Linked DNA regions of Diceros bicornis minor. The protein of the gene in region 2 binds, or shares a complex with, the protein of the main gene of each other region. Links are inferred from orthologs where the notes say so. Each region holds a gene or a part of one and is shown on either strand. Other genes may lie near its edges. The genes, in order: TAC1 and TACR1.

Region 1 (15,900 bases), on a different chromosome or scaffold from region 2:
ACTATTAAACTACTGCCTAGAGGAAGAAATGAATAAGGAATGACTTCACAACTTGGCTTCTCAGTTTGACTTTGAAAAATATACTTCCCTGTTTTAGGGTAGCTGATGAATCTAAATGTTAACATTCTCATTATTAATCTAGTTCAAAATGATTTATTTCCTGATTTTTAACTAGTGTTTCTATGATGTGTTACAAATTAGCCATTTTTCTAAGACAATTGGGCTGGCTGTACCTAATATTAATTGAATTTTTGACCTTTAAGGATCCAGTTTAGCCGCACTGATATCTGATTAGGAGTATTTTCAGTAGACCTATTAGTCTGGCTTATTATTTTAAGATTGCATAGTCATGTTGAAAAGGAGATCACCTTCAGTCTTTTGGCAAGTATATATGATGGGAATTTCTTAATTGCACCCAGAAGCAGTGGAAAGAAAACACACTTATTAAATATTTTTAACAACTATTATCCTTGACTATATGTAAATAGTTCAAACAACCACCAAACTCCTAATCTTTTGATTCAAGAACCACCAGTGACTAGCAGTTTATAAGGTGATAAACAGTTATGATTTGCTCTTCTTCCAGAGCAAGTTATCTTTGCTTGCTAATAGAACTTGTTGATGTTTAGATTGAACCAAGAGTTGATGTCAGTTGACCTCAGCTGGTTTTACCCCTCCCAATCCCTGCCCCCTCCAACATTTGCAACCTTGGTTCTGGGTTCTCCAATGGATAGCCAACCCATATCCTTACCTCTCTGCCTTTGCTTAAGCTGTTCCCTCTCCCTCCCCATTCCTTCTATCCCACCCTCTCCCATCCAGGGAAATTTCATTCTATGCTCCCATAATTTGTAATACATAATAATACTCCTCTGTTACAGCATCTATTATATGTCCTGCCTCCCTGACTTTCCTGAGCCCTCCTGGGGCAAAAACTGTGACTCATTCATCTCTGAATTCCAAGCACCATATTTGCTTGGCAAATATAGCGTACATTAAATAAGTGTTTATTGAATTAATTTTCCTTATGGCAAGTGCAGAAGGTTGGAGGGTTGGAGTATTGTGTCCTTTTTCCAGTGATGTGCCCACTTCTGACTTTACTATACCAGGAACTAAAATTAGTTTCCCATAAGAAATGGCTTTCTGGACAAAGAGATGGCAACACAAGACTAAACTCTTGAAGAGGCAGCATCGTGAAACATAGAAGGAAGTAATAAGATAAAGATACAGGTGATTCGCATTCCATGATGAAACCATATGTTACCTGGTTTTGAGTACAATTGCTTAAAATCCCCTCTAGGCTACCTCAGATGGTGCAGAACTTTGTAACTCTGCATTTGACTCTATTGTGGTGTTTCTTCTCACACACTGGCAAATGGTTAATAACTCAGGACCTGGTAACAACAGTTCTAGGTATTTTTGCTGTAAGAATCTTTGCCGCAAGAAGTTTTGCCACACAACTAATCGGCTGTAAGGGCAATTTTGGCATAAAAGATAAAATAACTGGTTGACAGTTTTGGGTTTCATTCATTATGGTTTCATTTGGATATGAATAATTTTCATTCTGTTCATTTGGTTTTGTTTGCTTACAAATATGCATCCTAGTATTCAGATGAAACCAATACCTCTCTTAATGAAGGAAGAAATTTCAGAAGAAAAAAAGTGCAAGGCAGAAGGTGGAAAAGAATCAACAAGCAAAAAAAAAAAAATGTATAATACTAAGAATGAAAGACTTGGAAGACAAAGTGCTTAGGTAACAATCCACAAAATCACATCTGTTCTTTGCACAGTAGTGCCATGAGTCTACACACATTTAGCTATTCAAATATTTTGTATTTTCATTTTTCACAGTGAAGTCTTTTTAATTTTGTTATTCATTTTTCATTATGAAAACCATTGTAACCAAATGAAACCAAAACTGTCAACCAGTTATTTTATCTTTTACAGCAAAATTGTCTTACCACAGATGAGTTGTGCAACCAAACTGCTTACAGAGAAAATATCGGACACAGGTAACACAGTGTAGACTGGAAGGATTTTAAAGAGTGATTGATATGAGTGTGCTCAAATAAAAAATTAATAAAGCAAGTTAGAATTCCCATGAGGCAGGAAGTAAAAAGGAGTGATCATAGCCGCAAGATTTCCCATGTAAATAACATGTAAAAGGTAAGCCAGTGTGTCAGGGAGGAGAGAAGGGGCTTCGCCTTGCAGACAACATATTCTTCCAATGTAATATTTGCAGCAACAGCTGTGTTCCAGGGCATTTTCTAAAGTTCTGGAGTTTGGAGCAACAAAACAGGAAAGAACTGATGCATCTACTTGGCATAGGTGATGTCCAACAATTGCACACACATTTACTAGTCAGGGAACGTGAACACGGTGCTATTCTAGGCCTTCTCTAATGCCTACGAAATAAAGTAAAAATTGTTAATTCCTGGAAAAAACTGAAATCCACAATCAGCAACCAAACAAATCAAGAGTCACAGTCTAGTTAAAGCAATCATCTTCAAGAACCTGTAGGCAATGGAAGAAACAGAAAATTCTGGAGCAAAGCAGAGAGGCCTATCACAGCCTGGCTCCACAGAGCCTCTGTCCTCTCAACCTTGCCATCACCTTCCAAAAGTTTTATTGGTAAATTGACAAAATTCTGAGAATTCTCAATGATGCTGCACATGGAGAGGAGAAAACTGAGCAGGCAAATCATTATTTTCTTCCAAAATGCAAGGGATACAAGTGGCTGAGAGAAACTGGTGACACCAGGGCAGAGAAGAACAGAGCTAACTCTTTAAGGGGAGTGGAGGGAAGCTCCAGACTGCAGAGATCAAATCCAAGGGCGTCCCTCGCAAGAAAGACCCTCCAACCAGGGAATTGACATGGAGTTGACATGGAACAAGACACTGCACAAAATCTCAGGGGAAAGAGCAGAGTCTGGGTATTCAGACGGCATCACACTTCAAGCTCCTCCTCCCTCTGTCATTCCCTCAGGCTAAGAAAAGTGAACAGAACACAAATCCTTTTTTTTCCCTCAAAGGGGAAAAAAATCTCAAATATTGTAGGAACAGAGTCAAGTAGTCATTCTCAGCCTGTCTGCTCAGAGTCACCCAAGCAACATCAAGATGGAGAGAATGGCCCAGAAACTATGCAAATATATTACACATTGTATTGGGATTCTCCAGAGAAAGAGAACCAATAAGGTGTGTGTGTGTGTGTGTGTTATATGTGCATGTGTGTGTTATGTGTGTAGAGAAGGAGAGAAGAGACACTGATTTTAAGGAATTAACTAAGGATTTTAAGGAATTAGCTCACAAGATTGTGGGGACTGGCAAATATGAAATCTGCAGGGCAGCTGGGCAGGCTAGATAGAATTCAGCAAGAAGTTGATGTCTTGAGTCCAAAGGTAGTCTCAAAGCAGAATTCCTTCTTCCTTGGGAGACCTCAGTCTTTTTCTCTTAAAACCTTCGGCTGATTAGATGAAGCCCACTCATATAACAGAGAGTAATGGCTTTACTCAAAGTCAAATATTAATTTGATTCAAATATTAATCGCATCTAAAAAAATACCTTCATGGCAACATCGGGACTGGTGTTTGACCAAATAACTAGGCAACATAGCCTAGCCAAGTTGACACACAAAATTAACCATTCACACACACACACACACACACACACGTGCATACACACAAATACACAAAGAGAGCCACCTAGAAGAAGAATAATAGTTAATATTCACTGCATATGCTAGGCACTGTTCTTTACACTTCACATGTATTTACTCATTTAATCCGCACAGCAACCTTATGAGGTAAGTACTATTTATTATCCTATTTGACAGATTAGAAAATGGAGGCAGAAGGTTCTTAAGTAACTTGCCACATGTCTAGCAAGTGGCTAAGCCAGTATCAAAATTGGCAGCGCTTGCTCAAAATTCATGCATTTTACTGCTAAACTAAAATAAAACATAACTCAGGAAATTCCTTTAATTACTTCACACTAAGAATATCTTAATAAGAACATGAATTCAATAAAATAAGTGCAAATCAATAAAATGATAAAGCAATTAAATGAGATGAAAAAGGAAATTACTTGTCTATGAGAATAAATTGGGACTACGCAACATGATTATGGAAATTAGAAACAGTAAGGCGAATTACTGACACAAAAGTGAATTACTGACACAAAGAGGAAAAAGTTAAAATAATCTAAGTGAATGCAGAGGAAAAGGGCAAAGAATTAAAGCAATTTGGAAGAATATTATAGACGTGAGATACCATATACATTACTATACTATATGTATATGTATTAAAATATATTATGATCCAGAGAAAAGGACCATAATATTCTTGAAGTGGAATTTCCATTTCAAAGATACATTCAAAGACATAATACAATAGAATTTCCCTAAAATGAAGAAAGAGAATAATTTGCAAAACAAAAAGAGTTCATGATACTTCAAGAAAATGAGATGTAGGGTGATCAACAAGACATAACCTAACTGAACTATTGAATATCAAAGATAAAGAAAGAATTCCTCAGATGTCAGAGCAAAACAGCAAATCACACTCAAGCAGGGGGAAAAACTATCCCACCTCAGAATTCTCCACAGCACTCAATTCCACAAGACAAAGGAGCAATGTCCATAAAGTCCTGAGAAAAATGAAATTTAATTTTAAAATATTACAACTAATCAAGATGTCATTTGAGCATAGAAGCCACCGAAAGACATTCACTAGCATGAAAGAACTCAGAGAATGCAATATATACGATTTCTTCTTGAGAAAGAAAAATTTGCTTGACAATGACATCCAGCCAAATAAGAGTGATTTAAAAAAAACCTAGAGAATGGCAAAGCTAGATTAAAAGGACTAGTGGTGAACAATGAATCTGTTTAACTATAGAATGAATAGTTGACAGCTACTGAAAGTATGCCAGCAACACTCAATGTGAATTTATAAACCTGAATAATGTTAAAATAATCATGTAACTACAAAAATTGGGAGGTGAGACGAAGGGGAGTTGGGAGGACGTTTAAGAGTGCTAAAGTCCTCATCTTTCAAAACAGGGAATAAATAGATATTGTCTAAATATCTATTTTTTTTAAATGTTACATGCTGGCCTCTTAATGTTTATTCCTAACTCTTGTTTTAGGAACCCATGAATGGGTTCTTTTATGGAAAAAATATCTTGTGGTGAAGAAACATTTTTCACTTTTGTTTTTCCTCTACTAAAGTCAAATAAAATATAAATAGCTATCTTTCATTAAAAATACTTCTGAGGGTCTGAGGGTCTCATCCTATTTTTATAACTTTATTTGTCTATTGCTCTATTCTTCTAACCATATAATACGCATAGAAAGATATTCACAATGATGTTCTCTTACTGTTAAGAGTTGCAAAATTTCTGAGTTTGAAGTAATTTTTTAAACAACACACTACTGTATTTTTCTGCATTGCTTTATTTTTTATAAAGAGTATCTCTTACTTTACAAAAACAATCACTTGACTTTTTTCCCTTTAAAAATTGTCAGCAGTCTATCAAGATGTTAACAGTGGCTCATTCTGGGTTATGAGAAAACAAAAGATAGTAATTTTTCTTTGTATTTTTCGTCATGTTTTTAATTTACAAACATAAAAACTGATTTATTAACTACTTACTTTTTCATCATTCTAATTCTCATGCATATGTATTTTATTAATATGTATATTGTCATAAATTTGATGTTCTTGGAAATAAAACAAAGAGTATAAATATCCCAAATAAAAACAAATAAAGAATATAAACATCCCAAACCCTGCAATGTTCAAGGAGAAAGTGTGTCAGTAAGTGCATGACCTTACTAGGAGAGCTAATTTAACAATTAATGAATGATGTGGAAAAAGTGGGAAATGTATTTTTTAATCAATTTTTTATCTCATTATTGTTTATTATTCAATCCTATGAAACAGCCTTTATTTTATGTTCTGTGGCACATTTACAACATATGGCATCCGAACAGAGTTATACACTAGTTACCTGGGGCTAAAGGGAAGAAATTGTGAAATAGCTGTCTTTATTGTTACCTCATAAACCACATCGGTAACTGAGAAACAAAAAACATATATATATTAATCTAAAATGCCCCACTTTAGGTATGAAATTTTACAAGGCAGAGAAGGATATGAATACATATTTGCTGATATTAAAATAACAATAATAATAGAAGGATAAGCTAAAAACCTAAAAAGAAATGGTTACTAGAGGGAAAAGAGTAGAGGGACAGGGATTGAAGCTATACTTCTTTGAATGCATTATCTTTTGAATATTTGAGTTTGGAATTATGTATTTTACATAATTTTAAGGTTAAATTAAATTTAAAAAGCAACCCCTAAAACTCAAGAGCAAAATGAGCAAATGAAGCTATGTTTGTAAGAGTTTGTAGCATACCCATAGAGAGAACTTTTAAAGTGAGTTGGCTGAACATACCTAGAATGATATATCCTAAAGATTACACGTAAAAACCCTTAAACTGTTTCCAATAATCATATTGTTGACCATATTGGCATTGTGTATTGGGATAAAGCAAATGAGTCATCATGTTGATGTCCCTGGGAACTTGGATTTCTTGTCATGGAAGAAAAGAGGCAAGAGGTCAAGGATAGAAGACAGAAGAGGTCAAGGAAAGATCCTATAGTATCCTGATTTGAATACAAAGTGTCAGTATACTTTCACTATTTTTACATATACACACATACACATACACATTTTCAGCTGTATTCATTGAAAAGGTCTTGAAACAATAAAGAATTCAGTAGCAATGTGCACCCATAATGCCCAGTTTATGGTCTCTAATTATCATTTCTAATTCAAAGGAAACAAGAGCTCCTTAAATGCAAATTGCAGGTCCGAGGCAGGAAATGCACAACTTAAACCTGGAATATCTTGTCATACCAAAAAACAAGAAACCCCTTAAAGCCTATTTAAGGGGTATCAAATGTCTCAGGAACCAATTTGAAAAGTCATCTGCAGGCCAACAAATGAGATAATTGGAGCATCAGTTAGAAGGCGGCTTGCCTCTATCCTTCTTTGAAGGGTTAAAATACTTCAAATGTGTTTAAATCCATGAGGTCATAATAATCCTAAATATGGGAGAGGAAAGGCCATATACCAACTCATTATTTTTAAAATTGGTAAAGGGAAGTAATCAAGCACTTATCTCATCTTTCCTCTGTTAACCATGTCTTGGAGTAACCAAATAGCTGTTGAGGAACAAGTTTCTCTTTATACGGAAGAAATAGTCCAGCTAATAAATACAAAATGAATGATAAAATCAGAATAACACTATTTTGAAAGTACTGATGAATTAGTGGATCTAGAAAATGATCATCAGTGGCTGCTAACATCTCAAAAGGAGAAACAAACAGATATCATGTGCTTCCTGACAACACATAGAAAGTAGCCTTGTCAGGAAAACTGAACCTAAGTGGGATTAAGCTTCCAGATACAACTATCAATTAACAGGAAATGGACAGGACAGAGGAACACATTAAAAGAAACCATTAGGAGGCAATCAGCAAGCTCCAGAATGTAGTACACTTTACTGACCAATTCACAAACTACAAGAGAAAGAGATCGAGAGAACTATAGATTAGGGGAGATTTAAGAGATGTACGAATGTATTGCAATGCATAGACTTCATGACAATTCTGATTTTAACCATTAAACTGTAGGGGGGAGGGGTTTCTGAAACAATGAGGAATATTTGAATATTGACTGGATATTTAACGTTGTAAAAAATTATTTTACGTTGTTTTTAGGTGGAATAATGACATGGTTCTGTTTTTACTTTTAAAAAGCCTTACCATTTATAGATACATACTGAAATATTTACAGTTGAAATGATGTCTGGGATTTGCTTAGAAATAATTTGAGTGGAGGAGAAATAGGAAGGGTTTATAGGTAAACCTGAAAATTTTTTCAAGTGATGATTCTCTACTTTTGTGTATGTTTATAATTTTCCATATAAAAAGTTATAAAAACAAAGAATACAATGCCTCACATTGTGAAGCTAGGCCTAAAGAAATGAGATAGACACATGGAAATTTCAAAATTCAGGGTTGTTTAAGAGAGAAAAACAAATGTTAAAGGAAAAAAAATACTGGTTTAAACGAGTTGCAAAAACTTATTCCCTTAATGCACTATACTAAAAACATCAGAATTAATTGAAAAATATAATACTAAGTAAAGAGAAGAAAAGAACTCCACCCAAGACACTATGTCATTTAATTCATTTTGAAATGAAAGAAATGTATCTGCAAGACAAACTCATGGGTTCATGGAAAGCTGTGATTTCTGTATAGAGGGTATTTATTAACGACGGCCCAATTAGCATCTTCACTACCCTTATTTTCATATACAGAAGAAATCTGTGAATGATTTGTAGAGTCCTTTAACGACACCCGGCAAGGATCCCGTACACCGTCTTGCCAGTGTCTTAGTCTTCAGCAAGAAAGGGTAGAAGAGAAGGGAAAACGTCCTCTTCCAACCCCCGCTTCCGGATTAGGCAAGAAAGAGGACTTAGCAAGCTTGGAACAAAAGATATCCTAGAATGGCACTGATATAAAAGTTCTACGTACAACGCCACGTTTAAATTCCCTTTTCTCCAAAATGTAAAATAAATCTGCTGCCATCGTCTGAAATACTACGGGACTGAAAATCCTTTTGTAAAGCTAAAGAAACGCCAGTATTCTAGCTGATTTGGGAGAAGGATGTTCTGCTCATAGAAAGATGCTGTATCTCAGAAACAGTTAAGACACTCTGCAGATGGAAATAGAAGGGGGAAAAAAATACCTCCCTCCCCACTTGAAGCGCTCCTTCCTTAGCCTGATTTCCGACGACATCTTAATACCTGAAGTTATTCGGCCATCCTTAAAAGTGCAACTTATCCTGACGTCTCAAGGGACGGAAAAGTTGCCGAAGTCCGAGGAATGAGTCACTTTGCCCCATTTTGATGAGTAATCTCAGGTGTCACGGAACCCCGTTCGGAAGAAGGAGAGGGGAGGGGGCGTCAGATCTGCAGACGGAAGAAGCCTGGCCGCTTGGGATTGGATGGCGAGATCTTGAATTTCCCAAATGTGCGTCATTTCGAACCCAATTGGGTCCAGATGTTATGGGCACCGACGGGTTACCGTCTCGGAAACTCTCAATCAGACGCAAGCGAAAGGAGAGGAGGCGGCTAATTAAATATTGAGCAGAAAGTCGCGTGGGGAGCGTGTCACGTGGGTCTCGAGGCTGGTCGAGCTTCGGATAAATACCGAGCCGCGCGGTGCAGGCAAGAGAGCGCGCTGCGACCTCCCCTCCACCGCCGCGGCGACCGAGAGTGCGGAGCGCCCGGCGTGCGCTCGGACCGGCCAGAGGAACCCCGCGGGCCTGTCCGCCTCAGTAAGTGCCTGCTCCGGGCCAAGTGGGCTTTCCGCACCGCGCATGGCTCCCAGGCGGCTGCTGGCCGCGCTGGAAGAGCCGCTGAGGCGAGGGACTGTGGGGGGTGAGTGGGGGGACAGAGGGGAGACGGGTATTCCAAATGCCAGTGTCCCTCTTTGTCTTCCACCTGCAGAGGTTCCTGGCTTGAAGGTGTGGATCAGTGGGTTGGGGGCTGGGGGAGTTGGGATCCAGGGAGAAGGGAATTTAAGAAGCTTTGGGGCATGCTTCTCTTTCCTAAAGGGTACCGGCAGGCCTTTAGCCCTTAGGCTTTTTATCGTGATTCAGTGGGCCCTGAGTTCCTTTGTGGGACTGAAGTGGGCCCTGAGTTCCTTTGTGGGACCGAGGATTATGCACCCCCAACTCTTGGATAACCGCCCTCCAATACATATATTTTACTATCCTCGGTCTCTTCTCTCCACTCTTTCCAGAAATCCAACATGAAAATTCTCATAGCCTTGGCAGTCTTTTTTCTCGTCTCCACTCAATTGTTTGCAGAAGAAATCGGAGCCAACGATGATCTGAATTATTGGTCTGACTGGTCCGACAGCGACCAGATCAAGGTGAGACCCGGCCCGGAGACGGCCTGCGCCGTTCTTCCTGGGCTCGGGAGCTGTCGCCTTCGCCCCGCGGTAGCACCTAGTTAGCCTGGCGGGCACCGCGACAGCCACCAGAGGTGTAAAGGAATGCCATCCCCTGGGTCCCGCACGAGATTTTGTGCCCACCATCCAAGTTTCCTCCCGAGGGCTGCACCGTCGGGTCTCGGGAACTCCCTGGAGGAATGATGCCCTCCCTGAGGAGCCCGGGATCCTAACAAGGCTGGAAACCTCACAAGGTTTAATCCCTGAGTAACCGGGAATTCGGGGACTCCAGTCCAGCTGCAAGGACCGGGCGTTTGGAAACGCTAGGCAGGGGCAGAGGATGGCGCGCCAGATGCAGGCATCAGCGGGGTAAGGGGTGAGCCGCTGGGAGCTTAGAGGGGCGTAGGTGGGTGGGAAGCTAACTTCCTGCCTTGACATTTTACCGACCTGAGGACGTAGTCGTTAAGTTTTCCTTTACAAGGCTCACAGACTATGGGTGCAAGGGAGCGCGCCTAGCGGGAACAAAGTCGCGCCGTGCAGGTCGCTTGTAAAGCGTTGTCACCCTTCCCCACCCAACGCACACCTGTGTGAATTTAGGGCGGTGAGGCGGCTCCAAAACTGGCGACAGAGTCAAGACAAAGTCAGGGGGCTGCACTGCAGATGAGTTGAGGTCTCCGGGATGGGAGCAAAGAGCGGAAAGCGCGCAGGGCTGGGAGACGCTGCTCCTCCTGCTAACTCGCAAGGGCAGGGCTTGGGGGAGGCAGCGGCGCTGGGCAGGAGTTCGGCGGGGAAGGGTGGAGAAAGGGAGCACCCCGGCCGGCCTGGAACCCACTCAGCCCCGCCTTGGGGAAGCCTGGCCTCCCCTCGCCTCCCCGAGGCCCCGGGGGCGGGCCTCACTGCCGGGAGCCGAGGTTCGCTCAGGGTTGGAGCTCACCATCGGAATGACCCGGGTTTCCGGGATCCTCGCGCTGGTTGACTACACGCCGGTTTGTCCGTACATCTGTCCTCCAGGAGGAGCTGCCCGAGCCCTTTGAGCATCTTCTGCAGAGAATCGCCCGGAAACCCAAGGCTCAGCAGTTCTACGGATTAATGGGCAAACGGGATGCTGGTGAGATGGGCAGCTATCCCTCTCTCTGTGTCTCCGGGCATCTCGCCCTGTCTGCTCGCTCGTTCTCAGAGCCCAGTCTCTCTTGCTCTTTGGGTAGAGATTTCCGCCCTAAAAGAGGTGTAACTCCCTGGGCGCTCCTCTGGGTCGCACCTCGCTAACACTCGCATATGCCCGCGGAGGGAGGGAGAGATCCGTTTCGCTTGCCTCACAATGTTAGAGACCCAAACCACCAAGAACAGGAACCAACCTTAGCTAAATGCTCCCTTGACTAAAGATCCAAACTGACAAAGAGGGAGAAGGCACGGGGCCTCCGGGGGGTAGTACTCAGAAAGGTCTAGGTGCGTGTGGAAGATGATTATAGACCATTGGGGTTAGAATAGATTAGCTTCCTGGTGTCATGATAGAAATATTCAGTTTCCTTGAATTCATCTCACCATCAGTGGAACGTGTAAATAGTTAATGTCACTTCGTCTCTTGTCAGATTCCTCAGTTGAAAAACAAGTGGCCCTGTTAAAGGCTCTTTATGGTAAACATTTCTATAAATCTTTATTTTACTATTGTGAATGCACATGTAGGAAAGTGAAAAAAGTCTTTTATGGGCTGAAATACAGATTCTTGATTATGCTTGTTTAATACCGAGATGGATTTACATCTGTCTCTCTCCTGAGCATCAAATGGGTGGCCCTCCATGAAGATGTGTTTCTTATAAGAAAACAGAGAGGTGGTAGGCCCAACAGTTGTTAACAGGCCTCAGGAGTCTCACAGGCCTGCATTTGAATCTGTGACCCAAAGAAAGTACTTAAAAAAATATTCCTTTTGCTTATTGAAATATTTTGTTTTTATTATTAATAATTTGGTTAGCATTTATGGTTCTGCTATATTCCTCAGGATAGTACATGAATGGGAAATGTTACATATTTTAAAAATCAATTTATTTTATAATTCTCTTTAAAAAAATATAATGTAGTTTCTTTAAAACAAATTTATTGTGTTTGCTCATTTTATCTTTATTTCTTCCAGGACATGGCCCGATCTCTCATAAAAGTAAGTTCAAAATTATTTTGACATTTATCAAATGCGAATGTAAATTAGATTGAATCCCACTTTATATAATATCTGATCTTATTTCTACTATAACTTAGGACCTAATATTTTAAATGAAGACACTATAAGAATGGAGGAGGCTCATATTACATCTAGAACATGATTGTTTAAAGCTCTGTTGTTTAGACATGTCATACTTACCAAAGGAATACATGATGTTAAAAATCCTTTAACTCCCAGCTAAACTGTTGCTAAATTCCTGACACACAGAAACTGTGAGATATTAAGTATTTGTTGTTGTTTTAAGCTGCTAAGGAAAGGAGGGAAGAAAGAAAGAAATCCTTTAATTCCTATAAATTGTTAGTTTTAGATAAGAATTTCAATTCTAGGAGTAAAAATCCACCACACATTCCTCTCCCCGATGGCTCAACCACCACTTCCACTATAAAACAAAAACAGAAACAAAACAAGCATTTACAGGTATCTTCTAAATCATTTTAGTATGATGGCTCCCATAATGACATCACTTAGTAGGGTAATCCAGCAGCCAATTAAGAGGCTTGAGTGAATGTCTGAGTAGAGAATCCTTATTAAAGGTAAATATAGATAGAAATGCAGTTTTTTGATTCTATAATTGAATGGGAAACCTCAGTCTATCAAAACACAGTGAAATATTTCTTAGGGGGGTGAAGGTGGCAGTAGTGTGGCACTTGATGGCCATTAGATCCCAGTTTCCCAGTTAGTGGAACCAGAGTTGACAGGAAGTCCCTGGGGTCCATCTTAATTATACTGTCCACTTACTCTGACTTGGATTTTGGTTCACTGGGCGGCGGCAGAGTAGGCCACATTAAGATAGAAACTTTATTTTCAACTAATAACAGTGAAAACCAAGAGACGTTCTCCTAATACAGTTAAAATAATAACTTTTCCCAAAGGTTTCATCTTTGAAAATAAATCATTCATATTTACTTTCAAAGGATTTGAGTTACAAGGGAATTCTATGTAGAAAATTCTATGTAATGGAAATAAATATACTCTATTAATGTCAAAATTAACACACATTTTCAAAAGGAGTATTTTTTAAAAATGCAATAAAATAGAAATAGTGACCTTTTAGAAGTTTATAATTATAAGGTATCTGACTTAACTAAGGTTCAGTTCCTGAGAAATACAACATACTCAGTAACATAAGGAAATAGGCTTGGATATTTCTCTGTCACACAAATGTGAAATTGACTCCCTAAAAATCAAAGCTAGCTTAAATAGCAACAATATATAAAACTTTATATTTAAACAAATAAAATATAATATGAATAAAGGATGCTTGCTAATATTTAGATATAGAATTGAGGAAGTGCTTTCATGGTATTGTTTTAGTGTTATTTATAAGACTTATTAGAAATCTTCATTTCTTCAGGCTCAACAAAACTTGAAATAGATATATATTTATTAAATGGGCGTATATTCAGAAGCTTGCTTTTTTTTTTGGTACTAGTTATAAGAATTTATTTCCTCAAAGATATACATATTAAAATACCCCTAAATGTATTTTTCCAGGGCATAAAACAGATTCCTTTGTTGGACTAATGGGCAAAAGAGCTTTAAATCCTGGTATGTATAAAATAATGACTGAAAATAGTATCTTAAATCTACTTGTATTTTTTCTTTCTAAGACAGTTTTTAAAGTATTAAAAAGGAATAATAAATTTAAAATGAGCATTTATGGTGAAAAAAAACCTAATTGTAATAAATAAATCCAAGAATGGGTTTATAGCTGATTAAGCTAATATCACCACACTATCCATCTCTCTCAAACCACCAGCCTTATCAGTGTCTGCCTCATTTAATTATTACCTAACCTGAATCTTTGGTCTAGTCTAATATTCTTTCCCTTATATCTGTTAAATAAGCCACATTTAACCTTACTGAACTAAGAGGAGGAGGGTATGTGGGAAATAAGACCAAATTTTCACTTGTTGCCAAGGTAATTTGAAAGTCTTACAAGACGTTACATCTGGCAGTCTTCCAACACAAAAATAAATAAACAAAAACAAACAAATCTATTTATACAAATCACATGCTCTTCATAAAGTTATAGAAGCTCAAACTCTAAACATCCTGATGGATGTTTGAGAGCATGAGAGTAATATAGTCCATTCCAGTGCCTTCAAAAAGAAACACAATTAAATCATCCTGGAGAGTTCTAATTAGTTCTGGCCATAAAACCCTTAGAGACAATGGATGCCACAATTCTCATAACCCATTTTAATTCTGAACAACTCTTTCACTTGACAAAAGGCTACATATTTCTTTTCTTCTCTTTAGTTTCTCTCTTCTATATAAATGACACATACATATATCTGAAAACTCTTATTTCTTAACTCATTCATCACAGTATTCTCAAGGTTAAATAACCCCTACATCATTTTCATAGGGACTGATTTTTTGCTAAGCACATTCAGGCTTTAATAGTCCTTAGGTTAGATTTCATGGGAAAGCTAGTCAAATTCTCCTTGTTTTACCTTCAGTGAAAAAAGAATTAAAATACTAATCATGTAATTATTTAGAAAGTAATCATCAGCCGTCTTATCCATTTAGAATATTACAAGTTTCTAGAAAATCTATAACTAAGATGTGCTGGCTTAATTATCTGGAAAAGTCATACAAAAATGATATATCCTAGTATTGATATTAGTTCTCTACCTTCCAGATTTAGACACTATTTTTGTATTTCTTCATCAGTAATTTTGGGGCTGCTCAAGTTTAAATTTTAAAGAAGTTATCAGTGATCCCAATGAAAAACTTAAAATTGTTTTATTAATATATATTTTCTTCCAGCTTTTGGAAACGGAATATAAATTTAAAACACAGTGGCTTTACTTGTATCAGAAGTATACACTAGCCCTTATATAACTGTGGTTTTCTTGATAATCATATTAGTCATCAACTTTGCGTTTCCAGAATTGATACAAGTTTCAGAACATGCTTAACTTTACAATAATATAGATACTGTGCAATTTATTGCAGATTTAATGCTATTAAATGTACTTAAAGTTATAATTATAGATAATAATAAATAGAATCACTGGAATGACTCAGAATCAATTTGACAAAATCTTTGCTCCTCCGTTTTAGTTAAGAAAAGAAAAGAAAAAAATGTGCAGAAAATGTAATCTATAGTCAGAGATCTTTTCATATAATCAGCTGAGACAAGGTAATCATAACCTTCTACAGCCATCTGATCCTTACTTTTTGTGGTCACAGACCCCTTTGACAATCTGAGAAATCTAGAAACCCTCTTCCCAGAGAAACCCTCATCAGCTCATACACACAAAAACTTACATTCGGTTTGAGAGAGTTCAAGGACCAGGTAAGAAACTGCTTCCAGTTAAGAGGACATGATACTCCAGCTAAATGACTAATCTGTCTTTGGTTAGTTTACATTAGCTTTCACCTCACTTCTCTGAGGAACAGAATCGGATTCCCTAAAGCTTCTCAGGAACTGAACTTGTGCTAGTCATCCTCCTAATATAAACAAACCAGCATGAGAAATGGACTGTGTCCTTCCTTCAGAACTGCCCAGTTGGAGACTCTGACTGTTCCACCCCAGAAGTGCATCCATGATTGACATGAAACATTCAGCTTATCCTTAACCCCATTTAGGGGAGTGTGGATGCTAAAGATCATCTGCTCAGTGGTAAAAGGTGAAAGTGATAACTCC
Region 2 (16,265 bases):
TATAGAATTTGTCTGTACAATCCATATGAAACATATCGCTTAACACTTTATATTGTAGTTATCTCTCAGTCAGTCTTATTTGCCCCAATAGGTAACCTAAGCCCTCATAGGAAATATCACCTTACCTGGTGGCATCATCCCTTGATAGACTGAAGATCTTTGTCCAAGTTTAACAGTGAGTATTTCTCCCTCATGATCCTCATTCTACCATTTGCTATTTCAACACAATAATAGTAACAAAGTCTTGTGCTCCTACTATGGGCTTTTACATTGAGAATTACTCTTTATTTTCCCTCAATTGAACCTATGTTTCTGCCAGTTTTTAAAAAAACCAAGGGCCTTGACCATTCAGGACACTGAGGACTCTCGTGAGTAGAGAGAGGATGTGATAAGTGCAGTGGCGGCAGCTTCAGAGAGCAGATGGGCATTGAACTTCTCCAGGAAAGATCCTGCAGCCTAAATGACCCATCCAAGATGTAACAAACTCAAATTTGATCCACATCAACCCAGACATTCGAGGTTCCTAATTTGAGAAGTCAGGGCCAGCTTCTAGTGAATGACCATTCTCAGCATTACAGGAGTGATGGTCACGGATTGTAAGGTCCATCTAAATTAGTGCAAAGGATGCTGGAATCTAAGTCCAGCCTCTGGGTGAGGAAGGACTGCCCTGAGATATACAATGGGACCCAACTCTAGCCAACATGGTGAGGTTCATGGACAGACTGCAGGTCTAGCGGAGACCTGAGAAGCAGGCTATTTAAACTTGTAGCTGGAGATGACTGGGACAAAATGGAATGGACACCAGGGATCAGTGGGCAGAGGTTTTGTTATTTATGCATTTCTTTGCTCTGGTTCCTCTTTTATTCTCTCAAAGAGTTCATTTCCTCTTTTGCTTTCAACCAGTACCCCTATCTGCGCAACTATATTTTTAGTCCTGACTATATTTCATATTGTCCAGAGACCATCATCATTTGGATGTTTCCTTTCACTCAAATACAACATATCCAGAACCAGTCTGAGTAGTGGGCATCCTTCACCTTTCATGTTGCTGAAATTATACCTGCCCCTACCAGGTAGAGAAGCGGTGTTAAGAGGCCAGTGCTTTTCTGAGCCTCCTGTTGCTGTGTGCTTGGGTCCAAGTCAGGTTACCTTTTGCCCCTATAGCCCTTCTGGTGGGGCTTAGGGATTGGTCTCCCTCCTCTCTTCTTAGATGTTGTCCCACAATACCAGAACTGGCCATCATCACCAGTCCCTGCAAAATGGAGGTGTCACCTTTCAGCGTCCTCTACCTTCTGATCTCATGAAACATCACATACACTTTTTTGTTTGTACAATAGGAAAGAAATTTTAAATTTTATTTTAAGTGGGAGAAAGTACAGAGTTTCCAAAAGTAAAATCCCTGGTGTTTGTTGGAGTTTAATTAGAGGTAGATCTGCTCTTATTCAAGTTTATTTGTCTCTAAAACTTTTTTATTCTAGGTAACCATTGCCTTCAATAAATAAGTATTCCTTCTGAAGAGGCTCTCTCTCTCTCTCTCTCTGTCTCATTCTCCACTCAATGGAAAGATTACAGGAAAGATTTAAATTAGTAATACAATCTGCAGCTGAAGTTTTTTTCTCTGCATACATTTTGGTTCTAGAAGGAAATTTGGCAAAATTTACCAAGAAAGTTTGACCCAGCAATTCCACTGCAAGGATTTTATTCTAAGGAAAGAACAAGTATGCTCTCAAAGATTTATGTCCTGGATATTCATTTCAAAGTTACTTGTAATCATTAAAAATGGAAACAATTTACATCGAAAAATACAGGAATGGTTGAAAAAAATGATTATAGCCACACAATACAATGCATCCATTAAAAATCTTGCTTTGAAAACTATTTCATGACATGGAAAATGCCCATGATATTATGTTAAGGAAAAAAACAAAAACCAAAAAAGCAGCTATTGAAACTGTTCTTATTATGATCCAAAATTTATTTTAAAAGCGTGAGTGGCTGTAGGCAGCAGAGGTAACACGTATAGAAAGCTAGCATTCTAGAATTTTAACTGGTTATCTGTCAATAGTAGGACTGTAGAAGATTTTTACATTTTCTTTACAATTTTATGTATTTTCCAAATGTTCATTCACTTACTCAATAAACACGGAGTGACTCTAAGGTGCCAAGCACTCTGCTTTGTGCTGAGGAGATAAAGTAAATAAGACAGAACAGAAGTAGGCCTTGCTCTGCTCAGAGCTTGTAATCCTTTAAAGTTAGAATGAAAAGTTTTTTTAAACATTCATTGAATTTGACCCAGTAATTCCACTTCTGGGAATCTATACTAAGAAAATAATCAAGAAAGCAAAACAAAATTATCATACAGAAATGTTTATTAGCGCATTAATCATAATAGCAAAAAAATCTAGAAATCACCTAAATACTCAGCAGTTGGAGGTGGTTAAAGTAATAATAGCACATTCATAAATGGAATAATAGGAAGCCATTAAGATTATATTACTGAAGACTTTTTAATAACATGGGAAAATGTTATTAATGTTTTCCACTAATATCAATGGAAAAAAGTAAGCTACAAAATTATATAGAATCTCACCTCAATTATGTAGGATAATTGTCATAAAAGAGAAATTCCAGTGTTAACAGGTGTTATTTTTACATGGTGTAGTAATGGTTGATCTGTATTTTGGGGTCTATGGTCTTCATGTTTCCCAGGTTTTCTGCAAGGAACTAATTCTATAATCAGGAAAAGCATGTTGTTCTTATTTTTTAAGACTTGATTCAAAGATTATCTGTTAAAAATTCAAGGAACATACAAAAAGACAATTTAACATTTCCTCAAAGTCTGCATTGCCGTGATGAAGAAAGGAGAGATAAGGCCCCTTCTGGGAGGGAATGGATGACCATGCATGCAGGGGAGCTACATTTTTCAGAGGGCCTGAGGGGACTAATTCACTGTGCTCATGAGGCTGAGTAAAGAAAATAGAAGGAGCCCTTGGAGGACTTAGAGACAGAGCCCTGAAGCCTCATGCCTAACCCTACCTTGAACTCTGAACCTTGAGCATGTGGCTGATAATCTCCCCAGGCCATATCTGTACATTAGGGACATGGGGACATTCTCACTGCAGTCATTTCCCTTAGCTCTTGCCCCAGAGATCTTCTGACCTTACTGAGCAGGTGTCACTCAGGGTCAAGGTCCTGTCTGTGGTTTGCTTGGAGAGAAAGAACAGTGGAGGCTGAGAAGCCAGAGTCAAGGCAGCCGAAATTTGGCTCCCTGCCCAATCCACTGTGAAGATTTTGACCCCGACTCCAGCCTCTAACCTTCTAGTTCAAAGAGAAAGAGCAGGGCTGTGGAACATGGTGTCATTTCTGTGTAAGCCAAAGCAAGAGAGCTGTCTGCTGGCGCTCCATCAGCTACTGAATGCTGGAGCTCACACTGACTGACAGGTCTCCCTTGAGCTCGTGCAAGGCCCCAACACAGTAAAAATGCCAACTTTCCCTCTAATTTAGGGATCGTCAAGAGAGTGTGTGGAAGGCTGGAGTGGTACCAGATATCTCTGCACCTATATTCAGTTATATAGCATGCTAGGGGTATTCTGAGTTTGACGGGGCTTCTGTGAGGTTAAAGCAAGTCAGTGCAGAAAGATTTACAGGTGCACCTTACAAATATCTAAAAACCAGAGTAGCATAAAAGATAAATTTAGAAAAGCATTCATTTCACCAGAACTTTGAGTAACTGGTTTCCCTTCTGCATTTAAAATATAAATTGATTCACCACAACTTGTTTTGCACACAACATATCAAACACATAAAAGTTGCATAAAAGGAGGTGTACATGGAACTTAGAAATCAGCATTTGGACACCACTGCAAAGGAAACATAGTTTTCTCCGATTTTAAGTGTTCATTGACCGCAGAACTGAAAAAGATCTCAAATCAATTGCGAACCATAAACAATCTTTATGCAAAAGGGTTCAGTAGTTTGGGAATTTTTTTTTTTTGAAGTTTTTCTCTTAGCTCCTTCTTTGGGTTTCTCATATTCATCTCAGCAAGGCCATCAAAAAAACCACTTAAAAATCACAGTGGCAGGTGTTTTAAACATACCTCCACAGCCCAGGTAAACATTTAAGACTTGTGCACACACAGATATACATATTAGAGACCTAGGACACCCATAAAAAAGTCAATACAAATAAAGCTGTGCTCTAATAATCAATTTTCCATCATGCCACCTGAGGAGCCATTCATTCCAGAATGCCAGCCCCAATCTTTGAAAATGCAACCTTTTCACTTTCAATCAGCTTCTGAAGCCCTAACCTGTTGGCTGCAGGAAAGAAAGAGCTCTCAATTGCCTTTGCCAAGCACGTTTCTCTGTGGATACAGACAGGCTAAAAACATTGACCTTACATTGCAAGAGAAATTTAGAAAAACTCCTGGGTAAAGCTCCTTGGATTCCTATCTGAAGAGTTCCTTAAGAACAGCATAGCTGCCTCTTATTCCTGAATGAGATCCCCTAGCTGCATAGAGGGAGCTGAATTAGAATCCTAAGTATTTTATGATTCTAATGAAACGCTCTTTACATCCAAATGATACTGGAGAGAGGAGGTGGGAGCAGAGTCCCTGAATCTTCAGGAAAAAAGTGAAAAATGAGAAATTTTGCCTAGGCCTACTTAAAACTGGAAGGCACCAAGAGTCTGCCCAGTAGAATAGCAAGCCTGCAGGGAACTACAAAGCCCTAGCCAGGGGCCAGCCCCTTGGCCAAACCCTGGGTATCTCCTTCAGGTTTTCATGGTAAAGGAAAGAACACATATATGGAAAGAAGCAAAGCAGGAGTTGAAAGAGAAGTGTCAGGAAGATGAGTGGAGAAGGGATGAAGAAGATGGTTTAATGAAGGAAAAAAGAGGATGTGTAAAGAAAGGAAGGGAGACTAGTGATGGATGAAAACGAGGAGAAAGAAAAGAGGAACTAGAAAAGAAAATGGTGAGATAAGAGAAAGTCCCTCATCAACAATTGACTCAACTGGCGGTCGGTAAAAACCCCAGGGTCTGGGTGGCCAATCTCCACCTTGAACCAGGCACAATCCAGCCCCGAAGCTCCAAAGCAAAGCCATGGTCCTCTATAGACACTTTCTCCCTGTTCCACAAAGGGCAAGCTCACCTATCCAAGGCCACAGCCGTCATGGAGTAGATACTGGCAAAGACAGCAGTGGTGGGGAAGAAGTTGTGGAACTTGCAGTAGAACAGACCGTAGTACCACTCGTTGTGGACAGCGTAGGTGAAGTTCACCACTGTATTGAACGCGGCCATGGAGGCCTCTGCGAAAGCCAGGTTCACTAGGAAATAGTTAGTCACTGTCCTCATTCTCTTGTGGGCCAAGATGATCCACATCACCACCACGTTGCCCACCACGGAGGTCACCACGATGACCGTATAGGCAGCTGCCCAAAGGACAATTTGCCAGGCCGGCTGCACGAACTGGTTGGGCTCCGAAGTGTTGGTGGAGATGTTTGGGAAGAGGTCTGAGTCAACTGGGAAGACGTTATCCATTCCCCTGCTAGGCGGTTAAACCCTCCTCTGTACACACCTGGCCTTTGCAGCAGGGTCCTGAGGCCGGCGCCGGGGGTTAGGGTTCTACTTAACCAGGACAGGAGGGCTGCAGGCTCTTTCTGGGCAGAGCTCTTTTCTTGTAAGCAGGAGACTTGGGCTCAGAAGATAAACGCTTATTGATGCGCTGTCTGCCCCTCGTGGCTCTGAATTCCTCCTCCACTTTCAAGCTTCAGGAAGCATTTGAGTTCAGAAATCTGGAGACAGCGTCTCTCTTGCGTCGGGTTGGAAAAGGGGAAGAAATTCCACGGGTCGCGGTTCCAGGAAGCAGGAGACCCCCGCCTTTCTGCACCTGCTGCTGCTTGCAACTCCTATTCCCCCTTCCTGCAGCGGGAAAGGCAAAGCCCCGTACTGCGTGAGGACTTGGGGGCGAAGGGGGGTGCTCGTCCAAGCGCAACCCGTAAAAGTTCTGAGTCAATGTCCGGATTTCTTGTGCCCCGTGTCCAACTGGAGATTTTTTCCTTTGCTGTCGCTGCCGCCGCCGCAGCTGCCTGCAGCTTCTCAGGCGCCTCTTGGCTCGGGTCCCGCTCGGCTCGGGAGTTAGCAGAACCTCGGCAGGCTGCGCGAGGCTTTTATAACCCGCTGCAGAGACGTCACCGGGAAGGGGCAGTACCTGGGCTGCGTACTCGCCAGTACCCGTGCGCAGCACGGCAGCTGCACCAGCTGTTGGCAACTGTCTCACTCCACCGTTGCAGCCGCCACGCCTTTTGCAGCTACCTGCTGTGGGAGTCTGCAAGTCGGGCGCCCCACGCAGTCCGCGAGGGGTCGCTAGGTGGCCCCGGAGTAATTGCGCCAGATGGGGTCTGCAGCTGGAACCACAGATGCGCCAAGAGGGAAGGAAGAATTTGCCAAAGAGCTGTGGTGATGGACACTTAACTTCCAAGGAGGGTAGCCCGGAGCGCTGCGACAGCTCTGCAGAGGCGCCTGCCTGTGGCTGTGGAAGTCGGGCAAGTGTGGGGGCGACGCGCCAGCGCTGCGCTCCGGGCCTCTCTCCAGCCCAAGTGCACCGCGGGCTCGCTCTGGCTGCTGCCGAGAAGCGAGAGGCGACGTTGCCCGGTTCCAGGTGTCCGGAAAATAACTTTCCTGAGGTCGCGTTTAGGAAACACCCCCAAAATACCTAGTTCCTTTCCTTGGTGGGCCGATTCTCCCGGGAAGCAGTGGTAGGCGCTAAGCTTTGGGGACACATTCCCCAGCAGTGCGTTGGCCCCTCGCTCCATGAAAAGCTACAGCTGATCTCCCCAGATGAGCCCCCCGTGCAGGCAATGGGGACTGGGCTGGGCTCCCTGTGAAGCTCGGTGAGCAGTGTGTCGCCCAGACTCGCGGCTCCGGGCTCTCTGCCAACACCCACTGCGGCCTCGCCTTCTCCGCTCGGGGACACCGCAGCCTCTGCTTCCGCGTCTCCCGGGCCTGCGGGCCAGAGCGGGGCCCGAGGTGGCGTCGCGAACTCTTCCCTCCTCCTCTCTCCCAGGTTTGCATAGGAACTAGAGGGTAGAGCTGCCTGCCTTCTCTCCCCACCCTCACCCCGCCCCTGGCTGGCTTTGAGGACTCATCTTCCAGTTCAAGGCCATTTCAAAACGGCCGCGATGGTGCGGGGCAGTGGGAGGAGGCGGGAAGAACTAGCCAGTCGGTGCGAACCGTTTTGGAGAAGAGAAGATGGGCTGAGATTCGGAGAGCGTTCCAGCCAGTCTGCCCAGGAGATACGGTTCCGCGGGGAATCGAACGTTCGGAGTCTTTCTGGGGGCCATCTACCTCTCTACCTCCCCGCTTTCACTGCGGGGACTCGGAACTGTGGGACCCGGGTAGGGACGGGTGGCACGGCGGGGCGCGGAGGTTCGAGTTGGCGAAAGCCCGCGCTCTCCCGAGAGCGGCGTTTACGCACTAGCCCTCCTGTTGGGAGCCTCTGCGGCGGGCGCGCAAAGTATCGCGCAAAGTATCTCGCCGGAAGCGCTTTAAGGCTTAGAAATTTATTGTACTGATTTGTGCTGGACTGAAAGCGGATCTTCTCGCCGGGGTGGTTGGGGAATCGCTAATTCACTCTGGTTTTGTTAAGCCTGTAATGTCAGCTTTTATATGAACTGCCCCTTGCACTGCGTGGTCCTCTAGGCACCCCTAAACCCTGTGCCCCCTTATTTAGAGGGACAGCAAAGGAGAGCCTTCTTGTGGAACGGAAAGCCTTCCCTTGTACCCTGGATCTCTCATTACTGCTTCCATCACCTCGCAGAGCTGAAGGAGAGTGTGCGTGTGTGTCCACCTTTATTTTTCCTCCCAAGCTGTTTAAAGCTGTCTTTCTTTCCCCCTGTCCAGTGGAGGCAGGCTGACATTTTCTAAAGGAACTTTACTCAACGCTTAGAGGAAAAAAAGAAAGCTAATAAAACCTAAATATATCATGAAAGCTAAGTATAAAATAAAAGCTAAAAAACAAAGATTTATCCATTTGTCCTTCATTAGTAGAGCAAGTCGATACCTTGAACCAGGTACTGTCCTGGGGATACAGCCGGGCCAAGCACTCACAGTCTGGTGAAGGAGAATGAGACAATTAACTACACAAAACCGGAAGTATTAGGATAAGCAAAGGTACTAGGCTCTGCATGAGAGGAGAAGATGGTGGGGGCACTTAACCTTGACAACGAGAGGAATCGGGGAGGAGAGCAGAAAATCATATCCATAGAGAAGCCTGAAGAATGTGTTAAGGATGAGAAGAGGCTGAGGATGAAAGGGAACAGAATATTCCAGATAGGCATTTTATATGTCAAACAATGGCACTCTGCTTAAGGTCCCACAGGGACTGCCCAGCTCACTTAGAGGAACACCTCCATTCCTTACTCTGGCCTCCAAGGGTCTGCATTCCTGGCCCTCACATGTGGATGAGGCTGGCCTCAGTGGCTCTCTTTCCTGCTCCTAATTCCTCACGGCAGGTAGCCATGTCCTAGGAATATGTATGACTTGCCAAAGTTAATTTCTTTCCCAAAAAAAGCAAAGCATATTCATAACGGGGTCACATAAAAAAAAAATGCCTCAGCCATACAGTAACAGAAGGTGTCCTTGGTTCATGCACAATCTGCTGAGGGACCTTCTCTAGCTCTGACCCTTCTATAAAAGTAAGATTTTCTTTCCCACGTAGGGATAACGTAGCACAGATGTATAGATAAGATCCTGTATATGCTTTTTTCCTCCAACAGTTGATATTTTTTCCTTACCCTTTTTTTCTTTGGCTCCCCTTTCTACTTAACTCTTTCCTTGACACACAACACAGGCCCACCAGTCTCAAGGTAAATTCTGTTGACAATCTAGAATAAATCCTTCCTTATTTGTCTAGGCTCTTTAATACTATACAGACGGAAATACACATGATACTTGTACATGTAAGCTTATACAAATATGGGACTTTCACTTTTTGAAAGTCCAACAAAAGAAACGTACTTCTGTTGCGTTAACTCAAAACATTGTCTGGATGCTTCAGAGTCAACAGGTATAGATTTAACTCATTTTTTCCAATGGCTAAATATTATTCTTATGGTATGGATGCACCATCATTTATACATTCCTTTCCCTATTCATGGAAATTCACTTTGCTTCCAGCTTTTGCTACTAAAGACAAGGCTTTAATCAACATTTTTACCTATGTCTCCACAGTCTGATGTTTTCTTTCTATGGGAGAGATTCCAAGTGGAATTTCTAGGTAACGGATTGTATTTATATTTATATGGGTATATGTATACATGTTGTATATTTCCATTTAAGGTTGCCAGATTGACTTCCAAAAGGGTGTAGCACTCTTACATTTCACTAGCAACTAAATTACCCTTTTCCCCACATCTCTTCCAGTAATAGATGTTAAAAATCTTTTAGTTTTGTCAGTCTGAAATATGTAAAAATATGATAACATTGCTAATACATAGTGTTCATTTTTCTGACTACTAGAGAATTTGAACTTCTTTTAAGATTTTTTGGCTATGTGGATTTTTCCATCTGTAAATTGTCTATTCACATTCCTGTCTCTTTTTCTGTTGGATTGCTTTCCAGTCATTTTTTTCTAAGTGCTCTTTGAATAACACTTTGCCTGTCATAAATATTTCAACTATTTTTTCTAATGCTATTATTTATCTCTTGAATTTATGTATTTGCCATAAAAACTTAAAACAATTTTTATATAATCTGTACTTTCTTTAATAACATTTGGGTTTTTGAGTCTTGGTTTAAAAGTCTTCCCAAATCCTTTTTTTCACATAGTCTCCTAAATTTTCTTGGCAGCTTTTTATTGTTTCATTTTTTTACATTTATATCTTAAATTCACCTGGAGTTGTTGTTATATATTATGTAAAAGATTTACTTTGATTTTTTTCATGTAGTTAGCTAGTTTTGACAGCTCCATCCATTTTCCTGAGGAATTAAACCGTTATCTGTGTCATAGATTAAATTTTCAAGTATATGTGATTTAATATTTATATTCTCCAGTCTTGCCCACTGATCCATTTGTCTATTCCTATAGCAACACTATATATATATATATATACATACATATATACACACATATATATATGTGTATATATATATATATAATTCATATGATCTCCTACTTTTCCTAGCCTCCTTGTGATTAGGCAGAGCTATGTATGTGACAAATTCAGCCAATAGATTCTAAGTGGAAATGATGTGTGAAGCATAGAAGTGTGTGTGTGTGTGGGGTGGGAGGGGGGGAGGGAGAAAGAGAGAGAGAGACTTCTCCATGTATTTTCTTCTGCCAAGCCCCAAATGATGCAGCTACAAGATGACAGGTCTTGATCACCTTGAGTTTCCGAGTAACTGTGTAACACAGGCCCCTGCCAAGTCGCTATGGACATGCAGCGTGAGCAAGGAAAGAACTTTGTTATGTTAAGTCACTAGGGTTTGGATTAACTTGTTACTCACCATGATGCAGTTTATCCTGACTACCACAAGAATAAAATATTCTGATATCTGGTAAGGCAAGTTCACCTGAGAGCTCATTTCCTATTTTTCTTATCTACTTTGTGGCATCACATTTAAATCAATATTTTTTTTCAATTTTTAAAAAAACAAACAAAACAAACTGCACTAGTATTCTAATTGAAACAGCCTGGAATTTATTTTATTTTGACAAAATTAACATTTTGATATTAAGTTTTTTCATCCAAGAACATGGTATGGCTTTCCATTTCTTCAAGTCTTGTTTTATGCCTTTCAAAAAGATTTTATAGTTTTGGTTATAATAGATCCAGTTTTTTGATTAAATTTATTTCTTTATTTTTTATAGTTTTTGTTTTTATTGTAAATGAAATATTTTTCCTTTTTTGTCCTAGATCAAAGAAAAGCTGTTGACTTCTGTTTATATGAATTTGTGTGTATGTGAGTGTGTGTGTATGTATATACATATATTTTACCTAAATTTCATATTAATTCTAGTGTTTTTTACTTGAGTTTCCTTAGTTTTCAATCACATCATCAGTATTTTCTTGTCTCTATGAATTTCCTTTACCCTCTAAGACAATGTTAAATTAAAAATTGTGATAGCAGGTATTTCTGTATAGTTTCTGAATTTAAATTAAGATGGCTTTGTTTTTTTACCATTTAGGATAATATTTGTTGTTGAATTTGCTCAACAGTCTTTTATGTTTAAATAGTTTCCTTCTACTTTATTTTATCTTGAAGTTTTAACAGAAATATCTTGTAATTTCTTTTATTTTTAAATGCCTTTTTCAGGATCTGTTAATATAGTTGTGTAATTTTTTTCACTAACTTGTTGACATAGTGGATTAAGTGGATAGACTTTCCAACACTGACCCACCCTGGCATTCCTGGCATAAATTCTGCTTGGTCAGATGCTATATCATTCCTCTTTGATATACTGCTGGATTCAACTTGCCAATGTTTTATTTAACATTTTTGAAGCTATTTTCCTAAGTAAGATTGATGTAGAGATTTTTTTCCTTTACTTTTTTCCTTTTCTTTCTTGATCAGGTTTTGATATTAGTGTTATGCAATGAAAAATGAATTGAGAAGCAACTCATCTTTAACTATGGCCAGAAATATTAGTCCTGTCCCTGAACCAGCAGCATTGGCATCACCCTGGAGTTTGTTGGAAATGCAAATTCTTGGGCTGATACAGAACTACTAGAATAGACTCTGTGTTTTGATAAGACCCTAGGTGGTTTGTAAGCACATTAAAGTTTGAGGAGCTTAAAACAGGTCCAGTGTTTTCTAAATTTCTCAGATGATAAGAATTTCTTGAGTTGCTTGTTAAATAAACACATTATCCTGTTCCCCTGACAATTCTGATTGGTAGTTCTGGGTTGGGGCTCAGTAATCTGTTTTTACTAAGTACCCTGGATCAGTCTTATCTTCAAGCAAGTTTTGGAAATATGTGAGTCTTTTATTTTAAATCCAGCCTGAATCTAGATGAATCCTTTCTTCATCCCAAGAAAATTTTTCTTTTAGTATTTTCTGAAAGTATTACCTCTTCTCTCTACCTATTACCATTAGTCCTTTTTTTCTCCTCTTGGGACTCATTGCTGGCATGCTAGGTCTCCTGGATTTATCCTCTGAATGTTTTAAAAACTATTCCTGACCCCTTAATGGCGACTAGTATTTTAAAAAATGAAGTAACACAGAATAGAAAATATCACAGTGCATAACACTTTGAATAAGGGTAAGTATTGTTTTGTGAACTTTTATTTCCATTATAACTTTATGTGTACAGGTTTTCAGTGTAAAATCTATTTTTTTTACCATAGTTTGCAGTAAAAAAAAAATGCTTGAAAGCAGTTCTATAAGTTTCTTAAACACTTCCTCATGGTTTCTATCTTTTTTATATTTCTGCTTTGTGCTCAGAGACATTTCTTGCACTTGATCTTCTAAGCCATTCCTTTGAGTCTTTTAATACAGATGCTGAATATTTTAGCCAGAATGTTTTTGTTTAGCTTCTGAAGATTGTTTTTTTTCTTCTTTTGTACTTGAATTATTTGGGTGTTCATCTGGCTCTTTCAGCAGCTCTCTTACTTGAGCACGTTCTCTGATTGCCCAGATTCATCTTTTCTGGCTATTAGGCACCCTTGCATAGGTTGCTGTTTTCTTTATAGAGTTACCAGAGCTCAGGCATGGTGGTTGGAGCATTCTAAGCAGTGGGAGTTTAGGGATTCCCTAGGTGGTGAAAGAAGTGGGAGAATTAGATTTAGGGTTAACCGCGCCCTCCCCCACATACCAACACAGGCTGTCAGAGTTCTGCTGTGACACCCCCAGGAAGCCTCCCTGCCCTCCACTCACCCTGCCCTTTTCCTGCCTCAGGAGCAGGGAGAACTCGCTCATCCTTTTCTGTTCCCTCTAGGCCTTTTGGGCAGCAGAGAGACCCCCTGGTACACCAACTGGTGCAGATGTCTGCCCCTACCCTCAGATCTCTGAGAACCCAGGCTCCTCTGCTTTGATCCTCTCTTTAGGTTCCCACACTGATCTCCTAGCAAAGCATAGCCTGCCAGAGGAAGCTCTGCCCAGTTCTGTTGTTCTCTTGGCTCAACCCCAACAGAGCCCCACGGCTCACTTGTGTCCATCTGCCCTTGAGGCCTGCAGCCACTTGACTGATGGGAGAGGACGTTGGAGTTAGCAGGGAAAGGGAGGGCAGCTGCGTTCAGGTCCCCATAAACCCGGGTCCCCTGAAGGCCCTGGTGTGGAGGCATCCCCTTCTCTCCTCCACGGTGTTGATAAGTTACTATTAGTCACTGGCTCCCTTCCTCAGCCATCCTTTCACAGGGCAAACTGTCTGGGGTGCATTATATCTCTTTCAAATTAGATTGTTAGTTCTCGGAGGAACCATGTGACTCGACTGTTCATTTGCTAGCACTCTCTTCCATACAGTGCTTTGCACAGAGTGGATGATCAATACATGTGTATTAAACTGGACTGAATCGCATGAAAATGGTTGAATTTAGAAAGGTGGAGAGGTGAGGAGGCAGCAACAGAGCAGAAATCATCAAACTGTAAATCTTCCTGACACAAAACAACAATAAACATTAATAATAAGAACAGGAAGCAGGGGGATGAAGAGGCGGGTAGCTGGCAATTAAACCGTGCTTACTGCATGCCTGGAACAGTTCCATGTGCTTTACATGTGGTCACTCTATTTGACCTTTTGTCAGCACTTCTAACTTATAACACATGAGTACAACCATTATAACTGTTTGTGGATGTTGTTCCCCTCCCCCTTCTCCGGGCACATGAAACATTTATCGCCATCGAGCCATTTCCACTCTGGCCCTTGTTCCTCATGGTGCTCGTTTACTGACCTGTGAGACCTCTCTGAACTGAACTGAAGACAGTGGGAATGGATAGTGTGGTGCTCAGCCAGAGCAGGGACAGAAGCTGTGGTCTGTCTGAAGGGCTCCAATGCAAGACTTTGTTTCTTCAAGGGAGGCAGACATCAGCACGCCTTTAGGGACGTAATGACCTAGGGGTTGTCTGAGGTAGTTTTAGAGGAAGAAGTTGGTCACAACAAGCCTTGAAACAAATTATTTCATTTTAGCTGAACTGGTTGCGAGTTGTAATTTAGATGACAGTTGCAAGAAAAAGGCTGTATTGGGGCAGGGAGACAGCGAGAGCACTCTGGATGCACTGACATCCATGGGAACAGAATATAATTGTGAGTCCCTGAGATGGAAACCCATATCTGGGAAAATTTTCAAGGATAATATATGTGAACAGCTGAAAAAATACAGAGTGACTATGAGAGTCTGAAAGTTTCTATGCAAAGTGGAAGAGGACAGAGGAATAAAATTAAAAATAGACATTCCTCTCTAATGACTAAAATTCTAGCTAATGTATACAAGGTAGATGAAAAATTAATAAATGTATCAATATGGTTCTGTTTTTACTTTTATTTCCCAGATTTATGTGGGATGTGATGTCCTCTCTAGATGAGAGCTATGGATATATAAAAATATGTCATCTATGTTTCACACACATTAAGTTTAACAGAAAGAACTCAGACTTGATCAACATTTTCATATGCTGTCACCTCTTTCTAAATTATAGGGTATTAAATAAGCTCAACTAGAAAGATTTTCTGGAATTATAATTTATTAACTCAATAATTATTCTTCCCGTCCAAAAACAATAGAATGCTAAAAATTTACCCCAAAGAAGGTTCTTTTGAAAAATATAACTTATTATATAAAGAATTAAAACTTCTGAAATAAAACTTCTGATTAAAACTTCGAGAAATAAGTAAAAATCGAAATAAACATGGTAACACACCCAGAGGTTTAAAAATGGAGAGAAAACTGTGTGATACCAAGTATAACTTACGGCGATAGATTTTAAACACTTTGCTATTGGTCTTGTCTCCTTGCATCTGGTCTCCTGATACGAAGAGATTGATGGCTGGAATCCAAGAACCTCAAAACCTGAACTAGTCTTCTATTTCATCCCAGGTAATTGAATGTCAGATGTATATCAGGGACCCTAGGCCAATGGACATTCCTTATTACCAGGGCTTTGGCATCAAATCCTTGCAAGTAGAAGTGCAAATTGATATAATCTATTTAAAGGACAATTTGAATTAGATTTTAAAAGCCTTAAAAAAATACCCATCCTTTTGATCCAGTGATTTTACTTCTAGATTTTTATTCTAAAGAAAACATCAGAGATGTACACAGGGATTTTTGTTTAGGAAAGTTCACTGTAACTTGCTATATAATAGCAAGTAATGAAAACAGATGAAATATTCAAAACTGGAAATTTGGTTAAATAACTCACGGCATATTCATATGTGATCCAGCCATTAAAATCATATTTTCAACGTGAATGATGTAGGAAAGGACTTATAATAGATATTTGAAAGCAGCAAGATACTAAACAGTGTCTATAATTTGATGCTAACTCTGTAAAAATTATTACATATGAAGAGAAAAGAATGGAAAGTGACCCATCAAAATATTCACAGTGGTAGCATAGAGACTATTAAATTTTTATTTCTCTATTATTTAGTATTTTCCAAATCTTCTACAATGAATATATTTTCCTTTAATACTGAGAACAAATGCATTTTTAAAAGGGAAATTCTCTAAAATTAGAAAATCAGGGATACTTTCTGGAGTCCTATACCGTAAAAATCAATGTGGCTGAAGTGAGTCCCTTAACTTGTGAAAACTGGCTTCTCCTGGAAAATGAAAAACTGTCATGTTGCAAAACCATTGTTGGAGGAGGTCATTGAGAGGACATGACCACTGGCTGACCTGAGAACTGGACTGGGTTATCAGAGGCTCCTCATCTCCACCACGCCTCCCCTCCACACCTGCCCCTGTCCTTGGAATGTATGTTCTGCCCTCGGTTCCAACACCAGGAGTTGTTTCAAGGACGTAGCCTTGAGAGAGCAATGTGTCGCTGAGAACTTCTGGACTGAATATGTGACTGAACCCAGTTAAGACCTCTATATAAACTGTTAAGATTCTGGCAGGCAGGTGCAGAGATCTGCTTGTCTTGCTCAAGACAAGGCTCATAAGTAAGTTCCCTTGCTTATTAAACCTGCCGCCTACCAATCCATAGTGGCTAGCTTCTTTCTTTGGTCTCTCCTTGCTCTCTGTGTACAGGGACCAGTTTCAAATTTCACCTGGGGGATTCCCAAGGTTGCGAACCAAAAGCCTTCTATACGAAATTGGTTTCATTC

What was found.
Region 1: the proteins of TACR1 (region 2) and TAC1 are in contact, whole or in part, in a cryo-EM structure (PDB 7P02), measured with the Homo sapiens proteins. The link is inferred for Diceros bicornis minor from reciprocal best matches to the Homo sapiens genes TACR1 and TAC1. Residues at the interface, in NP_001049.1 of Homo sapiens: Gln24, Phe25, Asn85, Asn89, Tyr92, Ala93, Asn96, Trp98, His108, Asn109, Ile113, Gln165, Met174, Arg177, Val179, Cys180, Met181, Ile182, His197, Val200, Phe264, Phe267, Phe268, Tyr278, Leu279, Ile283, Gln284, Tyr287, Met291; in NP_003173.1 of Homo sapiens: Lys60, Pro61, Gln62, Gln63, Phe64, Phe65, Gly66, Leu67, Met68.

Annotation. Positions count from the first base shown.
Region 1 is NC_080742.1:34,472,796-34,488,695, forward strand, and holds the start of TAC1 (protachykinin-1), read left to right. Parts: upstream 1-9,336; 5' UTR 9,337-9,410; intron 9,411-9,877; 5' UTR 9,878-9,886; coding exon 9,887-10,009; intron 10,010-11,038; coding exon 11,039-11,135; intron 11,136-11,616; coding exon 11,617-11,661; intron 11,662-12,155; coding exon 12,156-12,179; intron 12,180-13,736; coding exon 13,737-13,790; intron 13,791-15,900. UniProt on the Homo sapiens protein: Tachykinins are active peptides which excite neurons, evoke behavioral responses, are potent vasodilators and secretagogues, and contract (directly or indirectly) many smooth muscles.
Region 2 is NC_080751.1:13,835,272-13,851,536, reverse strand, and holds the start of TACR1 (substance-P receptor), read right to left. Parts: upstream 6,103-16,265; 5' UTR 5,540-6,102; coding exon 5,151-5,539; intron 1-5,150. UniProt on the Homo sapiens protein: This is a receptor for the tachykinin neuropeptide substance P. It is probably associated with G proteins that activate a phosphatidylinositol-calcium second messenger system.